Linked DNA regions of Macaca fascicularis. The protein of the gene in region 4 interacts with the protein of the main gene of each other region in a pairwise test. Links are inferred from orthologs where the notes say so. Each region holds a gene or a part of one and is shown on either strand. Other genes may lie near its edges.

Region 1 (7,668 bases), on a different chromosome or scaffold from region 4:
CTGCGCCTGGACTCCCGCTGCGCCTGGACTCCCGCTGCGCCTGGACTCCCTCTGCGCCTGTACTCGCTCTGCGCCTGGACTCCCTCTGAGCCTGGACTCGCTCTGCACCTGGACTCGCTCTGCGCCTGGACTCCCGCTGCGCCTGGACTCCCTCTGCACCTGGACTCCCTCTGCACCTGGCTGGAATGCTGTCCCTTCCTCTTGGGCTGTTGACTTATTTATGACTGTCCTTCCCCACCTGATTTAGTTCTCCTTATCCAGGAGACCTTCACCAGCTGTCCTAACTCTAAGGCTCCTACAACCGTACACAGCGGATCGTATTTGCTGCTTTGCACTGCCAGCTACTGCATGGACTTTTCCTGTCTCTGTAATTAGATGACAAGTTTCTGTGGGTCAAAGAGGCTGTTTCCTACCCCAGTCCCCCCTCACCCCCATGCCTGGCACAGTGTTCTTAGGAGGAGGAGAGGGAGGGGGTCTATAATGATAATAGTTGAGGATGATGAGGATGGTGGTGATTTGTTCCATGCTCTTTGGTTGATCTGCCCTTTTCAGAAGCCAGGCTGGGGAAGTGGTGATGGGACAAGGGCAGGACAGCCACGGGGTTCTCGGATATGGAAAGGTGCATCCAGGTGAGAAGTGTGCTTGGGCACAGACTGCTTATCCCAGGCATGAGGCTTCCAGTCATGCCTAGAGCCAAAGACACCAGATGGTGGACTCTGGCAAGGAGCAAAGGAGGCTCCTAGAAGGGCTGAGCTGAGCTCTGCTTCCTGCAGCCCCTGGCCCTCACGCCCTTCCCTGGGTGGCAGCCTCACTCTGAGGAGGGCTGAGCTGCTTTTCTCTACCTGCCCAGTTACCATAATGAAACCACAGCCTAAGGAGACCACAGGGAAGAGCTGCACCAGATGTAAACTTCAGAGTGATTTATGGGGTGGAGCGCTCGGGCCCGGGGCTGCGGCACAGCTGCTGTTCTGATCCACCCGGTCTGCCGCCCTGTCTGCCTGCTAGCCAGCCGGCTACTTATGTTCTTCTTAGGGATGACATTTCAGGAAAGCAAAGGTGGGGGAGGCCCTGGGCCATTGGGCTGGACTGGTCAAAGTCAGCACAAGCTATGAGAATGGGGTGTCCCCCAGACTCTTCCTGGGGTGTAAGCAGAGCCCACCAAGCTTTCTCACTTCGAACAAATCAAGATTTACACCCTTTGCACGCCAGAGCAGGGCTGATTTTCCCAGCCCCTCTCTTCACAGGCTCAACACAGAGATATTGAGTATTGACTATCTGAGCGGGAGTCTGCAGACAGAGTGGGGTCGCCCCTCCTCAGAGATACAGCGCAGGAAATATCCAGGTTGCTGCTCAACCTGTTAGCACTCCAGACAGCAGATGCAAGGCCACTGGAGCTTGGAGGGAACGCCCCCACTGAGCTCTTAGCTGCCTGGGGGTGGGGGGGTGGCTTAGAGAGAGGATACTAGCTATACCTGCAGGACGCAGCTGTACAGTTTCCTCAACTCGGGACTGGAGCGAAGGGCTATGCCAGACCGAAGGGCTCCAGATGTGCCCTCTCCAGTTCTCTGTGCCAAACCTGTGCTCTCTTCTCTTAAAAGCCAACTTGAGCCCCAGCTCCTTGAAACCTTCCCTGGTTAATTCCAGCTGATTGCAAACAGCCCAGCACCCACCTCCTGTGTAGGGGTTAGTCAGGTCTCCTTTTGGGCTGGCCTCCCCCATCTCCCATACATGACTGGGAAAACAATGCCCAAGCGAAGGGACTCTGCTCTGTGTCGTCATTTGTGCTGTTCATTAGGTATGTCCAGCTCTCCTTCTGGGCACTCGGTAGGATTAATTTGCCCCTTCTCCCTCGATATTAGGAGTTACCATGTGTCTTGTTCTAATGGGAGTGGAAGTGACATGTGTCACTTCTGCGTGGAAGCTTTAATAAACAGTGCATGATTTGCCACTTCCTCTTCCTCCTGATGTTTAACTGTGGGGGCCCGTGTCTAAATGCAGCGTCTGTTGGCTTGGGTCCCCAGGTAACAAGGTGGAGTAGAGTCCCCAGCCCAGATGCAAAGCACACAAAACATGAACAAGGCATAAACTTTGGTTGTCTAAAGCCACAAAATCCTCAGATCGTTTGCTGCTGCAGCATAGCCTGGTTCAGCCTAATTGATATGGCCTGTTTCGATTGCCTATGCCAGGTTTCTGTATCTATATCAGTACTCTCTATATCAGTACTCTCAGTAGAAAGAACCATCCCAGAACATGCAACCAGAAGCCACAGATAAAAAATCCCTCCCCTTCCTAGCTACATGGGGACTCTGCTGTCTGCCATTCCAACCTGGGGCAGAGTGCAAGGGTAGGCTGGGCCACTGGGCAGTTTCCAGAGTCCCTCTTCCTATCCCAAAAGGAAAAGGCCCATTTGTCTCTAGGAAATGAGGGGTTGGGGACATGTCCAACCCAACCCAGAACCACAAATCCTCAAAAAGCCAAGGAACAGGGCTGTACTCACACTTGTGGCATATTGGATGTCCTTCCAGATGGAGGTTTCCCGAGACAGATCAGAGGCCTCAAAGAGGTTGTCCATGATGACCTCACCAATCATGTCATGGCGGGAGAAGCGGTCGAAGTCGAAGACGCTGAGATGCAGCTTGCGATCAGCCAGCTCCTCATAGGGCACAGGGAAGTGGAAGTTCTCATCAAAGGTGGGGTTCAGGGTCTTGCGGTGCACCCGGGTCTGCAGCTTGCATTTGCGGTCAGGCAGGAGGTAGATCTTGACATAAGGGTCAGAGCTTCCACAAAAGTCCTTGGCAGGGAGGTCAAAAGCCTTCAGGATACGCACAATCAGGGTCTCCGTCTCGTAATCATAACGTAGGCTGAAGTTGATCTTCCCGCAGCTTTTGGTGGCCTCAGACTTGGCATCGTCCCCATCCACCGACTTCTGCTTGTAGAGCTCAGGCTTGATGCGGCCAATGCTGGTGGGCTGCTCTGCTGCTGGTGGAAGCTCGTTGCCATAGTCTACACTGGAGACGTGCATCTGCCTTGGCAGGTGGCGCTTGAAGGACGTGTGCCTGGTAGAGGGCAGGAGGGGGCAGAGGGAGTGTGGTCAGGGCTCAGGGGAAGGGGGATGAAGGCAGACACGAGCCTGGAAGCCCTGGCTCATTGTATCCCTTGTTGAGCCCCCTCTTCCTTCCTCTTCTTGACCCCACTTTTCCTCTGCACACACTTGGTGTACAAGGTTGTGGTGAGCATTACATGTCTTAATATATGTAAAGTAGTTGGAATGGCGCCTGATATATAGTAAGCTCAATAAATGTTAGCCATTGCTATCATAATCACTTTTTCCTGCTTTTCTGTTACCTGCTTTTTAGGTTTACTTCCTAGTAGACAAAACTCTGGTTTCCTTATTAAATCATGAGATCCCTTAAGAGAAGGACCATCCCTTCTTATCATCAGTGTGGCACCCCCTTCATCACCGTCATCAGCATCTCCATTTGTTGGGCATTTGCTATACAGCAGGCAGCGGAGTGGTAAAAGCATGGGCTTTGGAGTTAGACTGCATAGGTCAGTCTTGGCTCTGTCACTTTCCAGTTGAGATCTTGGGAAAGTTATTTAACCTCTCTGTGCCATAAAAACGAGGATAATAAAAGTAACAACCACATAGGATTGCTGTGAGAGTAAAATGAATTGATTACATATGAAGTGCTTAGAACAGAGCCAAGCATAATCATAAGCAATATATGTGTTAGCTCTCCTTATCGATTACATTCATTCTTCCATTGGCTCCTCACAACTGCCATATAAGTCATCAGCCTTATTTTACAGTTGGAAAAAGCGAGGCTAAGGGAAGGTGAGGAACTTGCCCAAGGCCATATGACAAACTGTCAGTGTGACCCCTAGCATGTTCATTCCTGGCCTCCAGTCTGAAGATCAGGACTCATTCTCTTTGGTTGGTCCCCTGAGGGCCTGGAGAGCCATTGCAGGGACCTAGGAATCCATCAGAGCCCTAAGTTTTGAGTAAATACAATGCCTTACACATGCTTGCGCCACATCTTTTAAAAGTATTTCTGAATTTGGGGTAGGTTTTTGTCGTTACGTTTTTCTTGTTGCTATTTTCAGTTAAAGGATGCTGTATGTATTTACAATTGTTGTCATACAGGGAACTCTGAAAGGCTTTAAAGGAATCCTCATTCTCAAACTATTAAGACTCTCTTGCCTTATCTGCCACGCACTGCAGACTGTAGCTATCGGGCTTTACAGACATATCCCTAAACACACCATGAACTCTTACCTCTCCAGGCCTTTGCCGTTCTCTTCCTTCTGCCTGAAGCCTTTCCTTCCAAACATCCGACACTCCCCAATTCCACTATTCCATTCCCCTCATATCCACACATACCCCAAGTGCACACCACATGTACAGCAACCAGCCTCAAAGGTTTCCCTTTCGTGAAGTCTTTCCTCCTCGTTGATCACCCATCATGGATCACATCTTCTGACATATTTCTCCATCAAAGGATATGTGTTATTATTTCTGATCTCTGATCCTCACAGGCTGGAATCCCATAGATGTATTAAGGGAGTGTGGAGGTGTGGGATCAGGGAAGGGAGCGGTCCACTCCTCACCTGGTGGATGAGGCTGGCTCTGTAGTTTGCCGCTGCAGCCGCGTGTGACGCATGATGTGCTCCTTGACCGACATCTGCACCTCAGCTGGGATATCTGGGGATGTGTGGCTGATCTTCACGGCCGCCTCCAGGAAGCCCAGGGTGCTGGGGTCCTTCAGCTTGTCCGCCATGTTGCCTCTGAAGCTGGGGCTCTGGAGGGCTTCCAAGGGGGGATTAGCAGAAGAGGGACTGGAGGCCTCCTTGTTCCTCCAGGGCATCCAGCACAGCTTCCAAAAGAGAAAGAGAAAAACTGCCACCAGGGCCACGCCACACACAATAACTACAACTGCGAGGAGGCTGACAGAGGTGCCTGCCCTCGGCATGAGCCAGGCAGGGAGGGACAGACAGACAGAGGCGGGGAGAAGCGGGTGAGGGTGTTGGAGGAGGGGGCACACAGAAGGGACAAAGACGGAAGAAGAGAGAAGAATGGTCATGAGAAAGCTGCCAGGTCAGAGGGAGAGGTGGTTTCAGGGTTGACTCTTGATTGTCCACTTCGTGGAATATCTGCAGCCTTGTGTTCACCTCAATCTGATTCTTCCAGCATCATCCTCTTTCCCGCCCCCACCCCCTCCCCCCAGCCAGCTTGGGGAGCACCTGGGCTGTCTTCTCTACTGCCTATTGGCGTGTGCACAGGGAAAGGAAAGTAATTTAAATAGTAGCCTAAGCAAATGTGCAAATTCGTGAAGCATGCATGTTCAGACGCTGTTTGAATTTCTATTAAAGCTGCTACTATGGCCAGACTTACGAGTCATTTTTGTCTACAGCCTACTTCCTTAACAGGCTGTGATACCTTGGGGGGCAGACACTGGCTAACTCATCCTCTTTTCTTCTTTATCCCATCCCCACTGAGCCCAAGACAGGAACTCAATAAACATTGAGTTGACTTCAAGTGAATGAGAGTCAGCATAGTCTCTTTGAGGGCAAGCATTATGTTCTTCTGTACTCCCAGAAGTCTGTGCATAGTAGGTTCAATAAATACTTCTATTAAGTTGGAATCTGATCTACACAGAGCACGTGAAAGTTAAATACAGGCACAGTTCATTTTACTATGCTTCACTTTATTGTGCTTCACAGATACTGTGTTTTTTACGAACTGAAGCTTTGTGGCAACCCTGCCTTGAACAAGTCTTTTGGTGCCAGTTTTCCAACAGCATGTGCACATTTTGTGTCTGTGTGTCACTTTTCGGTAATTCTCACATTATTTCAAACTTTTAAATTACTATTACAGTTGTTATGGTGATCTATGATCTGTGATCAGTGATCTTGGATATTCCTATTGTCATTGTTTTGAGGCGTCCTGAGCTGTACCCACGTAAGATGGCCAACCTAATTGGTAAATATTGTGTGTGTTCTGACTGCTCCCCTGGCTGGCCATTCCTCTCCTTGGGCCTCTCTATTTGCTGAGACACAGCAATATTGAAATTAGGCCAATTAATAACCTTACTTTGACTTGTAAGTGTTCAGGTCAAAGAAAGTGTCACATGACTCTCATTTTAAATCAAAAGCTAGAAATAATTAAACTTAGTAAGGATGGCATATCAAAAGCCAAGACAGACCAAAAGTGAGGCATTTTGTGCCCCACAGCCAAGTTGTGAATGCAAAGAAAAAGTTCTTAAAGGTAATCAGAAGTGCTATTCCAGTAAACACACAAATGATAAGAAAGCAAAACAGTCTTATTGCTGATGTGGAGAAAGCTTTAGTGGTCTGGACAGAAGATCAAACCAGCCCCAACATTCCCTTAAGCCAAAGCCTAATCCAGAGCAAGACAGTACCTTTCTTTCATTCTATGAAGACTGAAAGAGGAGAGGAAGCTGCAGAAGAAAAGTTTTATTCTAGCAGAGGTTGGTTCTTGAGGTTTAAGGAAAGAAGTCCTCTCCATAATGTAAAAGTTCAAAGAAGCAGCAGCAAGTGCTGATGTAAAAACTGCAGTAAGTGATTCAAAAGATCTAGCTAAGATAATTGATGAAGGTGACTACACTGAAAAACAGATTTTCAGTGTATAAGAAATAGCCTTATATTGGAAGAAGATGCTATCTAGGACTTGCACAGCTAGAAGGGGGAAGTCAATGCCTGGCTTCAAAGTTTCAAAGGACAGACTGACTCTCTTTTTAGGGGCTAACATAGCTGATGACTTTAAGATGAAAACAATGCTTATTTATCATTCCAAAAATCCTACAGTCCTTAAGAATTATGCTCAGTCTACTCTGCCTATGCTCTAAAAATGGAACAACAAAACCTGGATAATAGCACATCTGTTTAAGAATGGTTTACTGGATATTTTAAGCCCACTGTTGAGACTTACTGCTCAGAAGAAATGATTCCTTTCAAAATATTACTGCTCATTGACTATGCGCCTAGTCACCCAAGGGCTCCGATGGAGGTGTGCAAGGAGATTAATGTTGTTTTCATGCTGGCTAACACAACATCCATTCTGCAGCCCATGGATCAAGGAGTAACTTCAACTTTCAAATCTTAGGCTTCAGCTGTCATAGATAGTGATTCCTCTGATGGATCTGGGCAAAGTAAATTGAAAACCGTCTGAATCGGATTCACCATTCTTGATGCCATTAAGAACATTCATAATTCAGGGGAAAAGGTGAAAATATCAACATTAACAGAAATTTAAAAGAAGTTGATTCCAAACATTGTCAATAGCTTTGAGGGGTTCAAGATCTCAGTGAAGGAAGTAACTGCAGATGTGGTAGAAATAGCAAGAGAACCAGAATTAGAAGTGGAGCCTGAAGAATGGATGAGGAGTTGCTTCTTGTGGATGAGTAAATAGTTTCTTGAGATAAAATCTACTCCTGGTAAAGATGCTGTGAACATTGTTGAAATGACCACAAAGGACTTAGAGTATTATATAACCTGAGTTCATAAAGCAGTGGCAGGGGTTGAGAGGATTGATTCCCATTTTGAAAGAAGTTCTACTGTGGATAAAATGCTCTCAGATAGCGGTGCATGCTACAGAGAGATCTTTAGTGAAAGGAAAAGTCCATTGACGCAGCAAACTCACTGTTTTTT
Region 2 (4,295 bases), on a different chromosome or scaffold from region 4:
CAGTTCAAGACCAGCCTGGCCAACATGGTGAATCCCGTCTCTACTAAAAATAAAAAGATTAGCCGGGCATGGTGGTGGGCACCTGTAATCCCAGCTACTTGGGAAGCTGAGGCAGGAGAATCGCTTGAACTTGGGAGGCGGAGGTGGCAGTAAGCTGAGATCGCGCCATTGCACTCCAGCCTGGGCAACAGGGTAAGACTCTGTCTCAAAAAAAAAAAAAAAAAAAAAAAATTATAGAGTACAGTGAAAACTACATTTCTCCTGGTATAATGTAAATCAGCACAGTTTTTCTGGATGATAACTATCAAAAATCTTTAAAATGTTCAGCCTTTTTAACTCAGGTATATAGGTTTTGGTGCGAATCTGTACTTAAGAAATAATTATAAAAGTCGATTTTTTTAAGTTGGGCACAAAGATGATTGCTTCAGTTATTTACGATAGGAAGAAACTAGAAACAGTTTAAATGCAAAGCAGTAAGGGAATGCAATCAATGAGTAGTTTCTTAGGTACTTCTGTATAGTTAGCACTTAGCACAGGGTATCTGGGCCACACTAAGATATAATAATAACAGCTGATATTTATGTGCTAGGCACAGTTTTAAGCATTTTAATGTTCACAACAACCCAATAAAGTATTGTACTATTACTCATATTTACACAGATGAGGGAATGGATTCCAGAACTTGTACTACTCTTTTTTTTTTTTTTTTTTTTGAGACGGAGTCTCACGCTGTCACCCAGGCTGGAGTGCAGTGGCCGGATCTCAGCTCACTGCAAGCTCCGCCTCCCGGGTTCACGCCATTCTCCTGCCTCAGCCTCCCGAGTAGCTGGGACTACAGGCGTCAGCCACCTCGCCCGGCTAGTTTTTTGTATTTTTTTTTTTTAGTAGAGACGGGGTTTCACCATGTTAACCAGGATGGTCTCGATCTCCTGACCTCGTGATCCGCCCGTCTCGGCCTCCCAAAGTGCTGGGATTACAGGCTTGAGCCACCACGCCCGGCCCAGAACTTGTACTACTCTTAACCATTATATTGGGTATTCAACAAATGTTTCTGGAATAAATTGCTGATTATGTTTATGAATGTTAATGAAAACACATAAAATTCAAAATTTATATTTAGTTATGCCTTGATACAAACTATATACATAACTTGCTCTCAATTATAGGAGAGTAGCTCAAAAATTCATAAGAAAAAATGTTAACCATGTTTTCTTCCCCCTGCTTTTAACTTCTCATACATTCCAAAATCTCTGCAATGAATATGAATTACTTTACAACAAGAAAATGAAGTGCTTGTAATAAACACACCCAGTAGGCAATGCTGAGTGGCACCTTTGACATTGGCTGTCACTACTTTAGGCAAAAGGATGTCTATCAAATATTGATCCTGTTGCTCAACTTTACCGTTAAGAGCTGTGGTCAACAGCATCACATCCTCAAATGTACCACTTAGGAGGATAATTTTCCTTATCTCAATGTTTTTGAGCTACTTTCTCATGCATTTTAGTGAAAAGAAAACCTAGTAAGTAGTGTGGTCCCACTTGATCCAGAACCACGAAAACGGCACCAGGATCACAGTGGGAAGCTCTCACTTTACCCACTTCAAATGGAGACAGGATGCTCTAAGTGGGAAAAGTAAAACATGAACTTGGAGGAACAAGAGGACTACGGATACTTGAAACAGGAACCTCGGAGAAAAGAAATAGGAGACACTGGTGTACAGCAGTTTAGGCCAAAGGTTAGTATTACAAAACCAAACAAAGATGACACCCGAAAAGTTTTAAGTGTGTGTGTACTTAGACCCTTTAGAAACAGAGGGGCAGTAGGGACCTGAAGGGAGAAGGAGACAGCAAAGGGACTGTGGGGATACTTCAGTTAGAGAAATAGGAAACAAGATACTAGGTCGAAATGGTTCATTCGGGGGAGTGTGCTAAAGGCAGCTAGGACAACAAAAATCTGCTGTACAGTTTTAAAAATCAGGAGTCGATATTCTAGGTCATCCCGGCCCTGTTTACACACGTAGACACAAACACTGGTTTCTAGCGGGATCAATCAGTCATATATTGGAGGCGCTAAAATCAGTCAGGTGGGATATAAATGGAATAGGTCAGAGGGGAGGGCTTAGAAAGGGGAGGACTTAGAAGAAGGAGTCCCCAGGCCCAGTGGAACCCAGATATAGATGCAACCCCAGATATGGGGATGGAGGGGATGGGAGGGGAGTGGTTCCCAGCCTGGAGAGAAGGTTCAGTCATTGGGCCTGGAGTCGGAAGTGTCAGGGTAGCGGGGGCAGGTATCTGGGGGTAATCCCAAGGAACTGAGGGTTGTGGAGGCTGCTCTGGCTTCCCAGCGAGAAGCCGAATCACAGGGGTCGCTGTCACCCGTGATCGCGGCACGTTCCCGGCTTGGGCTCCCGTACCCTCCAAGGTGACAGTGTCTAGCTCTCGCTGGGAGTGCTCAGCTGCTGCCGCCGCCGTCTTGCCGTCTGCCTCCCCCGTTGACCCGCCACCCGTCGCCGCCTCCTCTTTCATCTCCACATCCTGGGGGGCCGGGGGCAGTGGGGGTTCTTGTTCTCCGCCGCCGGGCGGCGGTTTCGCCTTGTCCGCGCCGCGGCGCCGCGCCGAGCCCTCCTGCTTCATGGCACCCGGGGTCACGGCCTAGTCCGGGGACCGAGGCCGGGGCCTCGCGTGAACCGTAGCACCGGGGACCAGGAGCCGAGCCGGGCCTACACACCAGCGCGGGCTACCGTCGGGCCGCACGATGACGGAGCAGCTGCAAACCCCTTCCCGGCGCTGGGCCTTCTGGGAAAGCCCAGGCACGGCAGGCCGATGGCCGAGTCAACAAAGGGGAAATAAATCAACAGCCGAGGTGCAGGATGAAGGAGGAGCTTCAAGGAAGGAGCTGGGAGGAGCCTGTATGGGTTCCTGGTGCTTTCTTTCTAGCGCTGAAGTGTGATGCTTTTATGTTCCTCTCGAGTGCATTTCTGTGGGCGTCCACGAGAGGTCCCCTCAGGCTCCAATCTGGGTTACAAAGGACTTTAAGAGCATCTCAACCAGCGTGGAGTGAGTACAGTCCATCCGAGCGCGGGGCGAGATAACGTCAAGAGTTGCCGGGCGGGTTTTGCGCCCAAGTTCGCTCCCTTTTCCCCGATGGGGGGGTCTCCTTCCAAATCCGCGGGGCTTGGGCTCAACGGCTGCTGGGCGCATCCGGCAGGAGGGAAGGAAAGAAGGCTGCGAAGGAGGGACGTGAAGCTAGGGCTGTTGGGCTTAAAATAAACCGAACTGGAGAGTAGCAAGAATCCTATGGGATCCGGACTTCCTTGATTAGATTTTAGTTTAGTGCTGAAGATAAGGCATACAATTCTCTGCAGGGTGAGCGTGCATTTGCGTAGAATCACTCCAGTTTAACAAAATGTAGGGGCCCACCCTATGTACGGCCCAGGGCTAGCAAATAGGGGGGTGAAAAACAGCTCAAGAATGTAGTATACGGGAGAGTCAGATGGTTAGATAACCAGACACAGTGCTCTGGGCTGCGGTGGATTGGGAGTGTTGAGGAAAGAGGGTGGGAGCCACTACTGGCAGACGCTTTAGGGAGCCCGTTGAGAGGGCTTTTATACATCCAGACAGACATTGTGAAATGGCGAACAGAATAATAGTGTGCCTAAGGAGAGAATGATGGTTTACCTAGTGCTGTGCCTAAGGGGAAGCCAATTGGACAAGAAACTCTACCCACTTATTTTTCAAAGGACTCCCCCATTGATTCTGCAGGGAAGGTGAAACAAGGTGAAGGATATAGTTCCCAATTTCTTAGAACACAAAACAAAAACTCTCTCCCTACCTTGAAACTTTTCTCTCTCCCATAAGTGAAAGTCCTGAGCTTTAGACCTTTCACAGACCCTGCAAGAAAATTTAGCCCTGTTGTAAGGACCTAGAAGGCAGGAAATACGTTTTGACCTCCTCCTCCTTTACATATATAAAGGGTATCCTACATATCTTTTGCATCCTCTTTCGTAGGATTGCAGGATGTTCCTTGCATTAAACAGCCACTTGCTAACTGGAAAGATATGTGCTCTAGTTTTAGGGAACATGCCTTGACCAGTTCCTCCTCAACTGTCCTCTCACCCTCCAGGGCTGGGGGATGGATAACAGGATTTTTGAATCATCATTGGAATAAACTCATTAGAACCTCTTCATAACACCGTATCTGCAACTGAAGGTGGGCGAGAATGGTAAGGAAGAAAACAGATGAGTTATGTTCATCCTTAACAATCAAAGGAGTTACTCTTCTGGTTAGTTAGG
Region 3 (8,212 bases), on a different chromosome or scaffold from region 4:
ATCTTTTTCAGAGGTGGGGTTTCCCTGTTTTGCCCCGGCTGGTCTTCACCTACTAGGATCAAGCGATTTGCTTTCTTTGGCCTCCCAAAGGAGGATGGGTCATGAATACAGGATCATGCCCAGCGTTTTATTAAAACAACAACAACAACGACAATAAAGAGTTTATGTATTTGGAGTTATCAGTGTTACCTAATGGCTTGTGAATTTTTGTCTAATAAGTTCTTATCTACTTGATGATTTCCAAAAAAAGAAAGGAAAAAGGGAATCTCACATCTTTTTCCTTATTTATGATTACAACTAGGGTGTTATTTTAAAAACGATCAGTGAACAACCAAAAGATAATTGTTCCGAATGTGTTCATATCTTCTGAATTCTGAGGTGTCCTCCAGGCTGGGAGGTAGTGGTTGGGTGTGGGAGGTAAAATCACAGGTCCAGCACGTGACACCTACAGAATTCAAAGGCTCAACTTTGCACCAAGCTAAAGGTTCTGGTGTCCATTGGAAGTTTCATTCCCCAACCCGCATTGACTTTGCATTGGTCCTCCTCCCTCCAGATTTTAACTGCAAGGCAAGTCCTGAGTTCATCGTGGGGAGAATCTTTTCTTGTAGTCTCGAATTGCCTTGGCCATCAGCGGGGCCACTTTCTTGGCAGCCTGTTTCCGGGTTTTGGCCGCGAGCATCGCGCGCTCATTGCTGCTGCTTAGGCAGGGGTTGGCCCTCTTCTCAGGGAGCTGGTGAAGGACATTGCTGCTGCTGCTGTCTCTGCCACCACTGTCACTGCCCCTGCTGGAGGGAACGTGGCTGCTTACCGCAGGCTTTGGGGCTAGCTTGAGCTCTCCATTTTCAGGTTCAGCAGCTCCTGCAGACTTATCTTGCCTCCTTGAAGCATCATAAGGCGTCTTGGCCACAGAGTTGAAATAGATCATCTTTGCCTCTCTGCTGTTGGGGTTGTTTTCACGTGCAGATCGGATATTTGCTGTCAGTACTCTTAGTCGCTGCTCTCGGGTGTCCTGAACCCGCAGGCACAGCTCCCGCCAAGACTCTTGCTCCTGTGGCTTTCCTTCCTTGAAGTCCTGGAGACAATGAATCCTCCATAATTCATCTGTGTCCCCAGCGAGTGCGTGATTGTATTTCTCTCTGCGATACAGCTGATCAGGTGTCCACCCTTCCAGAACGGGTTCAAGATACGAGTAGGGGATCCCTTCCACATCGCTGAGGGTGTCGGGATTGTTTCTAAGGACCCGGATGCACTGCTGGCGCAGCGTCAGCACCTGGGGCTGGCAGGCAGGCCTGGAGCCCGAGTACACCTGCATCTTAGCATTCACTCTGCCTCCAGTGAAAGCAGTTTCCTCCTGGAAGGTTGGTGCAGTGAGTGCTTCTGGCTTTGCCTGGGAGGTCATGGAGTCAGAATCCAATAGCGAATGGTAGTTGGCCTGCATCCAGGCCTCTGAGGGGTCCCAGAGCTCTGAGAAGGCATGGCTGGGCACCGTTTTCAGCCCTGCAGAATCAGCACCGGCTGCCTGCAGCCTCTCTGACTGGCTTTCCTCGAAAGGAAGCAATTTCTTAGCTGAATCCCAGGACACACGAGTGCCCTTTGAATCGTTTGCTTTCCTTTGTTTATCTCCAAGTGCAGTGGTGGAAGATTCCCCAGTCTTTTTCCTTTGCTTCTGCAACTGGTCGTAAGTGTGGTATTTTTCAAATGACAGAGTGGGCTGCTCGAATTCCTCAGCCATATCTACCTCCTCCACCTCAGAGAGGGAGCTCATGGACCTTCTGCCCACATGAGCCGTTGGTGGCTTCCCCTCTTGAGTCTTTTGGTCATTGGAAAGCTGCTCTTTCTCCTCAGAGGACAGGCGGTGTGTCCCATTTCCTGGGTACGGGCCATCTAGACTGGGCATCTTCTTGTTCAAGTGTCTGTGATGAGGCCTATTTGGGTGACCGTCTGGAGCCACCACCAAGGCGGGGACATGCTGGCTGCTGCCAGCTCGTCCCCCTTCCTTGTCCTTCTTGGCGTCACCCGAGGACGGCCTGTCCCTGGCACTTTCCCGGAAGGGCATCCTTGGGGTTTCCTCTCTTAAGCGGGCCCAGGATGATTTCTCCCTGATCAAAGTAGGGGAGTGCCAATCGCCCTGGGCACACAAGGGACATTTTTCCTGGTGGAACGATTTGTGTCCCTTGCTGTGGCTTACAAGCGCTTCCCCCTGGGGTTGGCCCTGGCAGCCCTGACCCAGCAGAGGCCCGCCCTGAGCGGCGTGAGCATGGCCTCTTCCGGGTTGCTTCCCGGGCACAGCCGGCTCAGGGCCCTCGGGCGTCGGGAGGGGAGCGGTGTGCAATGGAGGGGCCCGATGGGGGCCTGAATCAGCTGGGGCCCTTCTGGGACGCTTTCTCTGGGCTCTGTGCTCGCGACTGGGAGACCTTCGGTGAGGTCTCTGGAGCCCCGGAGGTGTTCTGTGTGCTGTCCGTCTGTGCTCAGGACTGTCAGGTGGGCTCCTGGGGACCGTCCCGTTCTCTGGGAAGCCCCAGGCCTTTTCCTGGTCCTGAAGAGCCTCCCCATAGCGCTTTCGGGAAGCGCTCTCCTCGGGGTCCTGTGCATCAGGCCCGGTGTTTGGGTCCACAAGCACCAGCTTCTTCCACCGGGCCGCTAAGTCTCTGGCAAAGTCGCCCACGTGCTGGTGCTTCCGCAGGCGCTTCACCGTCTTTCTGATTCCAGTCTCCGCCAGGATGTCTGCCGTCATGGGCAAGGCGGAGAGTTTCTGCAAATATTTCTCTAGCTTTTTCGGGTCCGTCTTAGTGGTCAGATACACCTGCAGCTTCTCCACTGCGTGCAGCGTAATGGATCCTGCTGCCATCTCAGCAGAGCTGTGCAGGCGTCACTGTCCTGGAGGTCTCGGCTCTTTCCTCCGGGCGGCGGGACACGAAGCCAGGCAGCGACCTCGGGATGTGGAGTCACAGCCTGGAGCGAGCTCGGTCCTCGAAGCAGCGGACCACTGGTTCCGGGGCGCTGGTCCTTGCAGACCGTAGGCCTCATGACGTGGAGTCACCACCGCCTGGAGCAAGCTCAGTCCTCAGTGCAGCGGGCCACTTGGTCTGGAACGCCGGTCCTTGCAGACCGCTGAGCAAGTCTGCTTCTAGTCCTCGGGATGTGGAGCCATAGCTGGAGTGACCTCTGCGGTTTGCAGTCCTACACGGAATGCAGCTCTGGTGCCAGAGCTGGGCCTTATATGGCCCACGGCAGGCCCACACTCACGGCTCTAGCCCTAACCCTCTTAGCTCCTGGGCTGCCCCGCCCCAGTACGTACTCATGCCGTCAGCACAATGCAGACAATCGGGACGGTCCACGCCAGGTGGACTGCTGTGCCCCAGAGGTTGATTAGGTGAATTTCAGCCTCGACACACCCCACTGAGTTCTACCGTTGGCCTTCCATTATATCAGTTTCCGTATCTGTGGATTCAAAAAAAACGCAGACTGAGTCTTCTTGGGAGTAAAACAGAAAATAACACAGCAAGATAAAATCACAGAAAGAAGAACCAATACAGGATAACAACTCTTTACCTAGGACTGATGTTTTGTGAGGGGACTTTCAAACATTTGTCAAAACTGGGATTAAAAGACCAAAATAAAACCGTTTGATTTTATTTCTTAACATCTGCTCCATCAATTTCAAGACAGTTTTCAAGCACTGTCTTGCCCCAACCTTGTCCCTCAAGCCCTGATGGTTCTGGGAACTTAACAATTTCCATGAAATCTTTTTTTCCATTATTAACTGAAGAAAACTGGGTGCCGTTTGCAGAATTTTTAATACTAGGAAAGAAATAGAAGTCAGCAGGTTCCACATCATGACTGTAAGGTGGACGCCTCATGATTTCCCATTGAAACTTTTGCCAAACTGCCCTTTGTTCAGTGAAATGCAACAGCAAGAACTTTTTCATGATTAGGTAGAACTCTCTGATAATGGTTTTTCTGCTCATGCTTTGGCTAATTTTCTCAAAAATTCTGTTAGTAAGCCCATTTAATGATGGTTTGGCCCTTCAAAAAGTCATTTAGTCGTATCTTTTGAGCATTCCCCAAAACTGTTACCATGACCTCTTCCCTTGACTGGTCCTCTCTGTCTTTGACTGGAGTGCTGCCACCTTTTGGTAGCCATTGTTTTGTGCTCTTTCTTCAGGATCATCCAGTGTAGCCATGTTTTATCCCCTCTTACAAATCTTGGAATAAATATTTCTGGATCTTCTTCCACCTGTTTTAAAACTTTAAAGAAATTTTTACTCTTGTCTCTAGCTATTATTGTTGAAACAGATTTGGTATCTGGATCGGACTTTCGTTTTTCAGTGACAATTATTAAAACAGGATCATTTGAAATATAGTATCTATGTTTTTTTCTCTTCTGTTGTTACTTATTTGTCCTCTCAAATTAGGGAACACTTGGTCCTATGTTTCTGAGCATAGTTGACCAATTCTGACATTGTATGAAATTCAGCAAATGTCTTTTCTGGATCTGTAGACACTTCTTTTGAGATTTCTAGTATTTTGTTGGATTGTACAGCATTTGAAATTTAGGAAGTTTCCTGGCAGAGCCAGGAGATAATCAGGAAACAAACAAAAAACAAATTAGAACGTACAGGTATATATAGTCAAGCTTTTAGGTGAATATTAGATGCAGAGACTGTAAAAGAGAAGTATAGAAAAAACATTTAAAATAAGAGAATAAGAGATGTGTCCTTTTTAACTGTTTGTTTTTGAGATGGAAAGCTTAATGCAAAATTTGGATCTTATTACTGAAATTGAAATGAGCTCATGCAAATTAATCTCCATAGCACCCGTAAAAAGGAAATTAAAAGCACTAATGTTGCATGTGGTGTATATACAGTAACATTTCCTAAATATCTTCTCAGTCTAAAACTGGGAATGATATTCAATGCTTCCTTTTCCTCAGGCTATGGTATCATAGGATTCAATTTTGAATTTGATAATGGAGGTATATTTGTGGCACAATAGCCCACAAAGGAAATGAAAGAAGAAGAAAACCGCCAGATTATTGAAACATACAAATGAGACACCTAGATTAGATGTTCACTTCTGGGCCTTCTTTCTTTGTACACAGAAATTAATGGGCATGTACTTGTGTCCATTTCAGGGGCATACCATCTCTTACAGTTTAAATAGAACTTTTTTGGGGGGAGTGGCTCATTCTTAGTTTTTTTTAATTCAGAAGATAATTTTCTATGTTAATTTGAATGGCCTGGGCAGAAAGATGTAGATCTGGCCAACTTTATACCTTTAATTAAGAAATTTGTAAGACTGCATTTTGTGTTTTCAGTAACAGAAGCTCATCTTAAATATTTAACACTACATTTTGAATAGTGTTTTTAAAACTCTCTTTCCCTATTTTACTTGTACTGAATTCTGAATTTTTATCAATCTTATCTCAAAATAAAAATCATATTATTATTTTAAGACCTGGTCACCACAAGTAAAAGCTGCTTCACAGTCCACATAGTAGGAAAGCCTTTTTTTTTTTTTTTTTTTTTTTAATTGGAGATGGGAGTCTCCCTGTGTTGCCCAGGCTGCTCTCATCCTGGGCTCAAGTGATCCTCCCACCTTGGCCTCCCAAATTGCTGGGATTACAGGAGTGAGTCATGGTGCCCGACCATGGAAAGCCATTTTTGATGCAGCCTCATTACCAGACAGGGTTCTAAAGGACTCAAGTCAATCCCCATTATAGAGATAGACTGTTTTGCAAACTGAGATTCTAATAAAAAAAGAAAGTGGAAATTATTTTGATTGGAGTTGAAGTAGCTACCATTTTGCAGAAATGTAATCAAAACCCTAAGCAAGCCTCTCTGATAGGCTATTCTTTCAAAAGTATGATCAACATTGCTCAGATTTGTTTAGGATTAAGAATTAGACTTCTGTCTCAAGAATTAGAGCTTTTGCTTTCTTGTTTATCCTGATCAACTGTGTTAATTAGGTCAGTGGGTTACTGTTTAAATGATTCTCCAGGGATTCTAAAAAGGAGTTTGAAGGAAATAATTCTGACAAATGTTCCAACTTGCTTTTATTAGGGTTGCTATGAAACTCACTATCCTATCCATGGGTAGTAGAAAATAAACTGTATTTTTCTGTGTCTGTGTATGTGCATGTATGTGCACACATGGAGTATTTCTATAATACAGTGTAATTGATCCTCTAGAGTATAAACTGCTGAGTGATATCGCTGGGCCAACAGGTATGTGCATTTTTCTTTTTGATAGATTTTGTCAATTTGCTCTGCAAACGGGTTGTACCAAGTTACATTCCCACCAATTGTATCTGAAATACAATATTCTTTCAATACCTTACCAAATCTGGATGTAAAAATGTAAAAAAATAGCTGCACTTTAAAAAATTTGAGATTCTTATTGAAAGAAGCTTATTTTTGTACCAATAAGCTGAAGAAGTATGGACAATACTTAAGGTGGTTTCTTCAACTTTTATATGCATTGCAAATTATTATAAAACCCAAAAGAAAAATGGTAAAGAGAAATGTCTGCTGTAAATGAACATGTGAAGATTCTGAACACAGAAATGCCTGTGTTACTCTTCTGTTCAGTAAGTCTACTCCTGTAGTCACACTGGTGCAGCAAGGTTGGGTAGTAATAAGGTGTCATTGCTACTCTCCAAAGCAGAAACAGGCTCTGTCTGGGGGCTGGCAAAGCAGGCCCTCACAGTGCTATGTGTGATAACCAGTTCTTTTACCCCATCATTTCCATCTTGAATAGCTTCAAAATATTGCCTAGAAAGATTTATATTTTCAGTTAGACTATTTATTTTATATATCAAGGCACAATTTTATGTAGATTATTTATATTTATTTAAGACTTCTTTTATCTGCCCCCTCCCACCTTTTGCATTTTAAAACATCTTTATTCATATATCGTACAACTCACCATTTAACATGTACAATTCCATGACTTTCAGGATATTCACAGAGACATACTTCCATTGCCTTGATCAATTTTAGAACGTTTTCATTAGCCCAAAGAGAAATTCTGTACCCTTTACCTGCCATCCCCTCCACCCCCAGCCCCCTGCAGTTCTCCCATCCTCCCAGTCCTCTCCTCCCCACTTTTAAACGTCTCTTCCGGGATCTTTTTTTCTGTTCCTCTAATAAATCTACTGAGTTTTCCCTAATGAGTTTTTCATCCCACTAATGAGGGCCTTCCTCTGGGTATATGCGTGTCTGTGCACACATGGAGTATTTCTACAGTATAGTGTAATTGACCCTCCTCATCTTTAAGAAATTCAGCCAAACCCAGTGCAGTGGATCCAGTACTGAGGAGCACACAGAGGACACTAGCTACTTTTTCTCAGTGACCTAGTCATAGAAAATATTTGCACAAGTACATGTTTCAATTAGGAAGAAGCAAATGCTTCTAGAGTGAAGGATAGAGAGACTCTGAAATGCATGAGCAAAGCAACTAACAGCTGTTGGGCACCCAGCAATTACTATCCCTAAAATTGACTTAGCACCCCCACAGTTTTCAAAGCGCTTCCCAGGCTTTATTTCGTGTGATGTACAGGACACTGCATTAGAACCTCTAATATGGAGGGATATGGACCTTGTTAGAAATGGGACCAGTCAGTGTCCAATACAGTCTCTAGGAAAATGTAGATTACTTTCATGGCTCTTTAAGCCAATTTCCATCTTTGCATTCTCAAAGACTTTTACATGCATATAAAATAGATTAGCTTTATTTAGCTTTATTGCAACTATTCAGCAATTAAAAGACATAATCTCTTGTAAGACATACTACTCCTGGTGCAGCAGGGTGACTAACCTTTTGAAGGAGGTCTAGCCAGTAACAGCTTTGAAATGGTCACTAATATTGTGGGAAATTAAGCTTGAGAAATTGTAAAAGACATCATTCATTTGTTACTGAGTTAGGTCAACTAGGAAAGAATGGCTGGTAGCCATAGTTGTTTGTTTCTGGCAAGTTTGGCACGCAGGTTTTGGTAAATTAAAATAGTGGCTGTGCAGGGTATGAATCTTAGGAAATAATATTAAAGTAGTGGATTATCTCTGGTCTGGAGTGAATATAAATGGGTGGGAGAATGATGAGGAGGAGTTGATGAAGGGAGGAGCATTGACCCAGAAGCCAAGATTCTGCTTTCAACTATTTGGGCTTTTCAGCAAATCCTTAATTCTTACAGATCTCAGGTTCCTGAGATTCAG
Region 4 (8,210 bases):
TTTTCTAAGTTAAAAAAAAAATCACTTGGCAGAAAAATTTATCTGACATTAAATGTTCTATCAGTGCAAAGTATGTCATTGGTGGGCCTTAGAATGCGTAATATCTCTTCAGAAGAGAAGAAAGAATCTTCTGGTCTAGAGGAATTAAATATCTTAACAAAATACATTATTAGTTTTGCTAAAAGAGAAATGATTACAGTAAGTAATTTTTAACAATGGTATTATGAGCAAGTTTATAGCTTACCTAATGCAAAGCTGTATTCCTGGGATAAAGTTTCTTATGCCATGGCCATCAAAAAGCAATATGAATAGAATGAGGAAGAAGAACCCATTTCAGTTTTGCTTCAAATTAAAATCACATTGACTTCTGGAAGGAAGAGTAACAGTGAAAATGTAAAAAAGATGCTATGTACATGTATATTTGCTAATAAACACTGGAGATGTACATTAGTGGCAGAAAGAAAAGTAATAAAGACTGGCATTTTTGGTTATATTAAATTCATTCTGCAACTTTGTAGCTCCTGCCTTTGCATTTTTTTTAAAAAATAAACTTATTTTGTAATAATTTTAAATTTTCAAAACAATTGAAAAGACAGTGCATAATTCCCGTATACCTCTCATCCATTACTGTGGCATATTTATTAAAATTAGAAAACCAACATGATCAATGACTATGTAATTTTGCAGAATTAACATATCCTTTGGAAGAGCGCTATTGGTCTCCTGACCATTGTCAATCAGTATTCTTCTATTTTTTTCCTAATTAGAACACTTTGGCCAAATAACTTAGTAAAATCTATTTTAAGATGTGTTTTAAAAAAACAAGCCACCTGCTTTATGAAGTTTGATTCATGACTCCCTTCAATTTTAAGCCACGGCTGAATGTTTTACTTAAAAATTTCCAGGACAAACATTCCATTATAGCAAATTCTCTGAGATTCAAAAGAGAAGGTAATGTTCTAGAAACTAACCCTCCATTCATCAGTCATCCTTCCATCAAATTTCAATAAAGCCAAGGAAATGTTTTTAACTGTGCCCTCATGTGCATTAGAATTCAGGATAAGAAGTTGAAATCAAGAAAGCAGAAGGCAGAAACAGCACTCATTTCACAAAATTAACAACGTATCGACAAATTTTAAAAAATCTTATGTCCTCAATATGTTACAAGTAAGACAAAAGCCCCTATTCTAACTGCAAATATAAACAGAGTGAAAAGGAAAAGTTCAGGTCCAGCACAGTGGCTTACACCTGTAATCCCGACACTTTGGCAGGCCAAGGCAGGTGGATCATTTGAAGTCAGGAGTTTGAGACCAGCCTGGCCAACATGGTGAAATCCTGTCTCTACTAAAAATACAAAAATTAGCTGTGTATGGTGGCAGGCGCCTGTAATCCCAGCTACTTGGGAGGCTGAGGCAGGAGAATCGCTTGAACCTGGGAGGTGGAGGTTGCAGTGAGCAGAGACTGCACCACTGCACTCTAGCCTGGGTGACAAGGCGAGACTCCATCACAAAAAAAAAAAGAAAAAGAAAAAAGAAATGGAAAAGTTCACGAAAATGATACTATTCAATTAATTTTCAGACATGCATTTTTTCACATTTTAAAATTCCTGAAATCAGCATGTGATCACCAGGTGGCAGTTTTAATAGTTGTCACAGCCTGAGGCAATGACAGCGAACTGCTGAGGTCCTCATCAATGTTCTTGATGACACAAAGGATGACACGCTAGAAAAAATATGGACACACTCTGAACTGAAAAGTATAAAGAGTAGAACCTGGAATGTTAACTTTAATGAATACTTTAACCAATTTATTCTTATTTTTCCTTTGTATATACATGCATTAGCATAGGCATTGATACCATTTTTTAGTGTCTAAGTTTAAAAGTGTTTTCAATAATAAAAAGTCTAAACGATAAGAGCGCATTAAGCCATAGTTTAATTAGCAGGGTTTCTCTCTTCCTTAGTGGTACATGAAATAATCAACAGCATCTAGCATTCAATGAAATAAACTAGTAATTCAGTTGCGATATCTTATTAGAAAGTTTAATAAACTACCTTAAAGGCAAAGAGCTTAAATAAGAGATTTTAAAAAACAAAAAACCCACAAAGGCATCCCCCATAAGAAAACTCAAGAAATAACACATAATTTTGCATTATAATAAAAGGGCTATTTTTCAACCTTATGAGTTTTCTTCCTGTGAAGAGTATAATTATCAAGTATCCTACTTATGAGCAGATTCTTGCACTGATTCCAAGAAAGGCAGAGGGAAGAGAGCCAGGGCAGAAAGTAAGTAGAAAGCTTGAGGAAGATTTTAACCATATCCATTTAACTAAACTTTTCTAAGAACCTCAGCTGTACCCACTGCTGTAAAGAGAGTAGGAATCAATAAACCCAGGTTCAACTAAATGTTCCTAACAACTACAGAATGAATTTTGAAAAATTACACGTAAAAGGAGCTTATTGGGCCGGGCGCGGTGGCTCAAGCCTGTAATCCCAGCACTTTGGGAGGCCGAGACGGGCGGATCACGAGGTCAGGAGATCGAGACCATCCTGGCTAACACGGTGAAACCCCGTCTCTACTAAAAAATACAAAAAACTAGCCAGGCGAGGTGGTGGGCGCCTGTAGTCCCAGCTACTCGGGAGGCTGAGGCAGGAGAATGGTGTAAACCCGGGAGGCGGAGCTTGCAGTGAGCTGAGATCCGGCCACTGCACTCCAGCCTGGGTGACAGAGCAAGACTCCGTCTCAAAAAAAAAAAAAAAAAAAAGGAGCTTATTGGTTTCAGGAGTCTCCAATGAATACTGTTTTTGTTTTTTTTGTATTGTATAAAATATACATAAAACTTTAAGACTTAACAATTTTAAGCATTCTTAAGAGTCCAATTCAGTGAAGTACATTCACAATATTGTGCAATCATCACAACCCATTTTCAGACTTTATTCATCATCCCCCAAAACTCTGTTCTGTATCCATTAAGCACTAACTCCTCTCTCCAGCCCCTGGTAAACTATTCTACTTTCCGTCTCTTAATTGGTTTATTCTAGGTACTTCATTTAAGTGCTCTCAAACAATATTTGTCCTTTTGTGTACGGTTTATTTCTCCCGTGGTACTTTTGTAAAGCAAATAATAAATCCCCGATTATTAGGTTTCTTACAATTTAACCGAAAATGCTGACACAGTCTCTGAACTAAGCATGCAGCTCTCCCAGAAACTCTGCTACTGTTCCAGTAGCCCCAAAGATCTCAGTCTGATCCTTCTTTAGCCTGTAGACAGGCCAGTTAAACAGCTGTAACTCAAAGAGCAGGCTCCAGAGATCCCTGGAGACCATCCCGTGGTTAAGTGGATGGAGTGAAGGGATTTGGGAAGCTGTGCAGGCCTGAAAAACCACAGGCGAGAAAAGGCTAGGACTCATCAAGCTGCTCTGGCCCCAAAATGGGCCTCCTGTCTCCCTGACAGACTCTCCTGCACTCTGACACTTATGTTGGGCGGCACCTGTCAGAGCTGAGGCCAAACTGCGGTCGAATCACTGAGAGTGTCACCAGTGCAGGGAGCTTCACGGGGTCATGAGTCACCTTCCATGGCTCAGAGGTCTGGGCAGCCCTGCCCTACCCAGACAAACTCAGCTAGGAAACAGAAACAAGAGGAAAAAAAAAAGTTGGAAGAAAGAGAGAAAAACAGACAGATGGCCAAAAAGCTAGACTGACAGGCCCTGAATTAGAGTAAGGGCTGAGTGGCAGAGACAGGGTGAACAGACACAGAAGCAAGGTGGAGACAGATATGAAACAGGATCCATATACCCCGAGAAAGACAAAGTGGAGAGAAATATCAGGTTGACAGGGACCTAGCTGAAAGACAAAAAGGACAGGTTACAACAGGTGACAGAGACAGCAACCGGGGTGAAACAGAAGGGAAAAGAAGATCAGAGAAGTCCAGGCGCAGTCTTTCTGCCAGCTCGGCTCTTCAGGCTTCACGCATTGGTGGCTCGAACCCGAGGCCGTCAAGCCGCGCCCACCCTACGCCCCGAAAGGCCAGCGGACGGACGGGGGCAGGATCTCTAAGCGCTGTGGCCGGCGGAGCTCCGCTGCCGCGAGGGTGACCTTGGGCGAGAAGCTGCCCCAAAGGCCTTGGTATCGCGGTCTGCGCGCCGTGTGGGCAGGAGACTGCGGGATTCGGAGCTGGGGCGCCGGGACCCCAACCTTCCGCGCGGGGCTTTAGCATGCCGGTCCACGGAATGGGCCTGGCGGGGCAAGCGGCGCGTGCGTCGGGGCCTGCAGAGGAGCCCTTAACTCCCCCACCAACTTCTCCTCCCTTAGCCTTGCCGCCCGTGGTCCTGGCCACTCAGTACCTGCCAAGGGCTCAGCGCTCACATCCCCCGTCCAAGGGATCCTCTCCGCCGCCGGCGCAGGCCTGTTCTAGCCTTCGCTGCCGCAACAGATTCAGCCTGTGCCTCAGCCCCCGGAAACGCTTCCCGGTCCCGCCCCCCGAAATTGACAGTGCTTCCGGGGGTGCGCCAGAGAGAAAGAGGAGTGCGCATGCGGGATTCACTGTCTGAGCTGGGCGTCCGGAGAGAGCGCATAGGTAGCGGGCGCCTGCGCAGTACAGTCTGGAGCGGGTCAATCAATTTTAGGGACTGACTAAGCTGTTGAAAATAGGGGAGCAGATACCGAGTTCTAAACCTTCTTGAAACCTTGACATAGGCCAGGCGCGGTAGCCCACGCCTGTAATCCCAGCACTTTGGGAGGCCGAGGCGGGAAGATCGCTTGAGGCTGGAGTTCGAAACCATCCCGGCCAACATGGTGAAATCCTGTCTCTACAAAACATGCAAAAATTGCTGAGTGTGGTTACTGGCGCCTGTAGTCCCAGCTATTTGGGAAGCTGAGACAGGAGAATTGTCTGAACCCGGGAGGCAGAGGTTGCAGTGAGGCGAGATCATGCCACTGCACTCCTGCCTGGGCACAGAGCAAGACTCTTAACAACAACAACAAAACAAAAACACCTTGACCTTCTCCGTCTCTTCTCTAAACAAACAAACGAAAACCTTGACCTCAGTTTGCCTGGCGGAGATTATCTCCAAATCCATTTCTGCCTCCACAGCACCCATCCAGCTTTTTGGCATGTAGTAGATGTTCAGTAAACGTTCAATGAAAGGACCAGTGCCTTTCCGTGGGCTGCGTTGTGCTGGGCACTGGGGTCACACAGATGGTGGGACAGAAACGATCTCTCTAGCTTCCAGTTCTCCCACTCCTTCCCCAAACCCTCCATCCTTCTCACCCCTTTCTTCCCCCTTGCCCCACCACGTTAGTGTAGAAGAGAGATAGGTCTTATAGCAGTGGGACTCTTACCTTTGGACCCGTTTATAGACCAAGTGCCCTCTTTGTGGAAGAGCTAATTTATACCTGAAATCCAGGCAGCTGAAGAGATGTGGTCATAATGCCTTCTGGATTTAGGGTGGATGTTCTCCTGGGCTAGACATGCCCTTTTGATATTGTCTGTCTTAGTTTAAGCTGATTGGCTTCCCAGCTATTATGCCTGTCTTGCTTGTTGTTGGGCCCTAGGACACAGGAGTGTAGCTTTTCTAGAGAGAATTCTACCAAAAAAAAAAAAAAAAAAAAAAAGAAAAGAAAAAAGAAAAGAAAAGAAAAAATTTCTAGAAAGCGAAATGAAAGAAAACAAATATGGAAGCACAGAAATGGGAATGGATGCAGAACAGCTTGTCAAAGATTCTACTTAAAACATGTATGCTCCAGCCCCCCCGCCTTTTTTTTTTTTTTTGAGACAAAGTCTTGCTCTGTTGCCCAGGCTGGAGTGCGGTGGCGCAATCTCGGCTCACTGCAACCTCCGCCTCCCAGGTTCAAACAATTCTCCTGCCTCAGCCTCCCGAGTAGCTGAGACTACAGGTGCCCGCCACCACGCCCGGCTAATTTTTGTATTTTTAGTAGAGACAGGGTTTCACCATCTTGGCCAGGCTGGTCTCAAACTCCTGACCTCATGATCCACCCACCTTGGCCTCCCAAAGTGCTGGGATTACAGGCATGAGCAACTGCGCCTAGCCTAGTTGAGTATACTCTTTAAGTGTTTTGCCACTTTTATTCCTGCCTCTAAGCAGACCTGAAGTTTGGAAGTTCAACTGCCATCATGTGCCTATGAAGTGGTAAGTAAATGCTAAGGCTGGCAAAGCAGGAAGATTGAGAGAACCTAGGTCCCATATGACATTAGGCCACAGTGCCAGCTTTGGACACCCTTAAGTGTTTTGTTGCATGAGACAAATAAACTTCTTACTTGGACTTTATTTCTGGCAATATTGAGGACTATATATTTCCAAATATTACTGCAACAAAATAGATAAAATTGCTAGAAGAAATATTTAGAATACCCTCTTAAACGCATGGATACACTTGCAAAAAAAAAAGTCAGGAAAATTATCTGAAGCTAGGAGGAAAACAAGAACACAGGCCTGGGAAGTCAAACAATTGATGTTCAGAAATTACGCAGAGGTAAAGTCTGCATCTGTTCTGATCCATTGGTGCATGCCCTGTACTGACAAATATTTTCAAAATTATCTCTGGAGATAGGTAAACACCGATACTGCTACCAACTATAGGAGCATTCACCTGGGTCCAGACAGGATTAAAGCCAAATTGCAACATCAGGTTGGGACTCAAGAAGAAATATGTCCTCAGGTGAAGGATAAACTACAGGGGAAAAAATCTGCCATACAGAGGTAGGCAGCAGTTAAAAGCTGTCTCTCTGTGCCTTGGTTCTGAGCAGAAGGGGAAATCATTCCCCTGGAGGATTCATGGCTAAAACAGTCTGACTATCACATGGCCACACAATTTGCATAGTTCAAAAGCCCACAATCTGAACATTTTAATTTGAAATGAACCTGGGGAGGTGGTGCCTACAGTATTTGGCCAAAACACAAATCTCTGAAAGAACTTGCTGGCAACCCAGGCTTCAAAGAATTCCCACAGATAGGGTTCTAAATAAATATGAACTCACAACCGGAAACCACAAACCCCCTAAGGAAATAAGCAGAGAAGACAAGCAGTAGAGGTGGATCCACACCAGCTTTAGATATTTGATATTTTAGAACCACAATATAAAACAAGCATGCTTAGAAAAACAAAGGGGCTAAAAGCACAAGTATCAAGAAACTCTTGAAAAATTGCCAGGCAGCTGGGCATGGCAGCTCATGCCTATAATCCCAGCACTTTGGGAGGCTGAGGCGGGCAGATCACCTGAGGTCAGGAGTTCAAGGCCAGCCTGGCCAACATGGCGAAACCCCATCTCTACTGAAAATACAAAAAAAAAAAAAAAAAAAAAAAAAAAAAAAAGAAAGAAAGAAAAAAAATGGCCGGGTGTAGTGGCTCGTGCCTGTAATCCCAGCACTTTGGGAGGCTGAGGTGGGCCGATCACCTGAGGTCAGGAGTTCGAGACCAGCCTGGTCAACATGATGAAACCCTGTCTCTACTAAAAATACAAAAATTAGCTGGGTGTAGTGGTGCGTGCCTGTAATCCCAGCTACCCAGGAGGCTGAAGTAGAAGAATCTCTGGAACCTGGGGCGGGGGCAGAGGCTGCAGCAAGCTGAGATTGTGCCACTGAACTCCAGTCTGGCGACAGAGCAAGACTCCATCTCAAAACAAAACAAAACAAAAACAAAAAAATTAGCCAAGCGTGGTGGTGGGCGACTGTAATCCCAGCAACTTGGGAGGATGAAGTGGAAACATGAGATTAAAAAAAAAAAAAAAATCTAGTTATACACTACTTAAAACACAAACCTAAAGAAAATTTGAGGTCAGGCATGGTGGCTCCCACCTGTAATCCTAGTACTTTGTGTCATGCGCATCTGTGTGAAGAGACCACCAAACAGGCTTTGTATGAGCAAGAAAGCTTTTTAATCACCTGGGTGCAGGCGGGCTGAGTCCGAAAAGAGAGTCAGCAAGGGAGGTAAGGGTGGGGCTGTTTTATAGGATTTGGGTAGGTAAAAGAAAATTCCAGTCAAAGGGGGTTTGTTCTCTGGCGGGCAGGAGTGGGGGTCACAAGGTGCTCAGTAGGGGAGCTTTCTGAGCCAGGATGAGCCAGAAAAAGGAATTTCACAAGGTAATGTCATTGCTTAAGACAAGGACTGGCCATTTTCACTTCTTTTGTGGTGGAATGTCATCAGTGAAGGCAGGGCAGGGCATTTTCACTTCTTTTGTGATTCTTCAGTT

The links.
Region 1: the proteins of ZBTB43 (region 4) and SYT6 interact in binary tests that used the Homo sapiens proteins (3 or more experiments, as listed by UniProt). The two-hybrid records come from large-scale screens. The link is inferred for Macaca fascicularis from reciprocal best matches to the Homo sapiens genes ZBTB43 and SYT6.
Region 2: the proteins of ZBTB43 (region 4) and PSMD3 interact in binary tests that used the Homo sapiens proteins (3 or more experiments, as listed by UniProt). The two-hybrid records come from large-scale screens. The link is inferred for Macaca fascicularis from reciprocal best matches to the Homo sapiens genes ZBTB43 and PSMD3.
Region 3: the proteins of ZBTB43 (region 4) and ELOA2 interact in a two-hybrid assay, tested with the Homo sapiens proteins (2 studies listed by BioGRID and IntAct). The two-hybrid records come from large-scale screens. The link is inferred for Macaca fascicularis from reciprocal best matches to the Homo sapiens genes ZBTB43 and ELOA2.

The regions. Positions count from the first base shown.
Region 1 is NC_088375.1:120,217,287-120,224,954, reverse strand, and holds part of SYT6 (synaptotagmin-6), read right to left. Parts: intron 4,958-7,668; coding exon 4,609-4,957; intron 3,057-4,608; coding exon 2,498-3,056; intron 1-2,497.
Region 2 is NC_088390.1:61,043,362-61,047,656, reverse strand, and holds the start of PSMD3 (26S proteasome non-ATPase regulatory subunit 3), read right to left. Parts: upstream 2,801-4,295; 5' UTR 2,637-2,800; coding exon 2,417-2,636; intron 1-2,416.
Region 3 is NC_088392.1:42,770,823-42,779,034, reverse strand, and holds the start of ELOA2 (elongin-A2), read right to left. Parts: upstream 5,019-8,212; 5' UTR 2,849-5,018; coding exon 581-2,848; 3' UTR 1-580. UniProt on the Homo sapiens protein: SIII, also known as elongin, is a general transcription elongation factor that increases the RNA polymerase II transcription elongation past template-encoded arresting sites.
Region 4 is NC_088389.1:17,204,558-17,212,767, forward strand, and holds the start of ZBTB43 (zinc finger and BTB domain-containing protein 43), read right to left. Parts: upstream 4,470-8,210; 5' UTR 4,345-4,469; intron 368-4,344; exon of another isoform or gene 245-367; intron 1-244. UniProt on the Homo sapiens protein: May be involved in transcriptional regulation.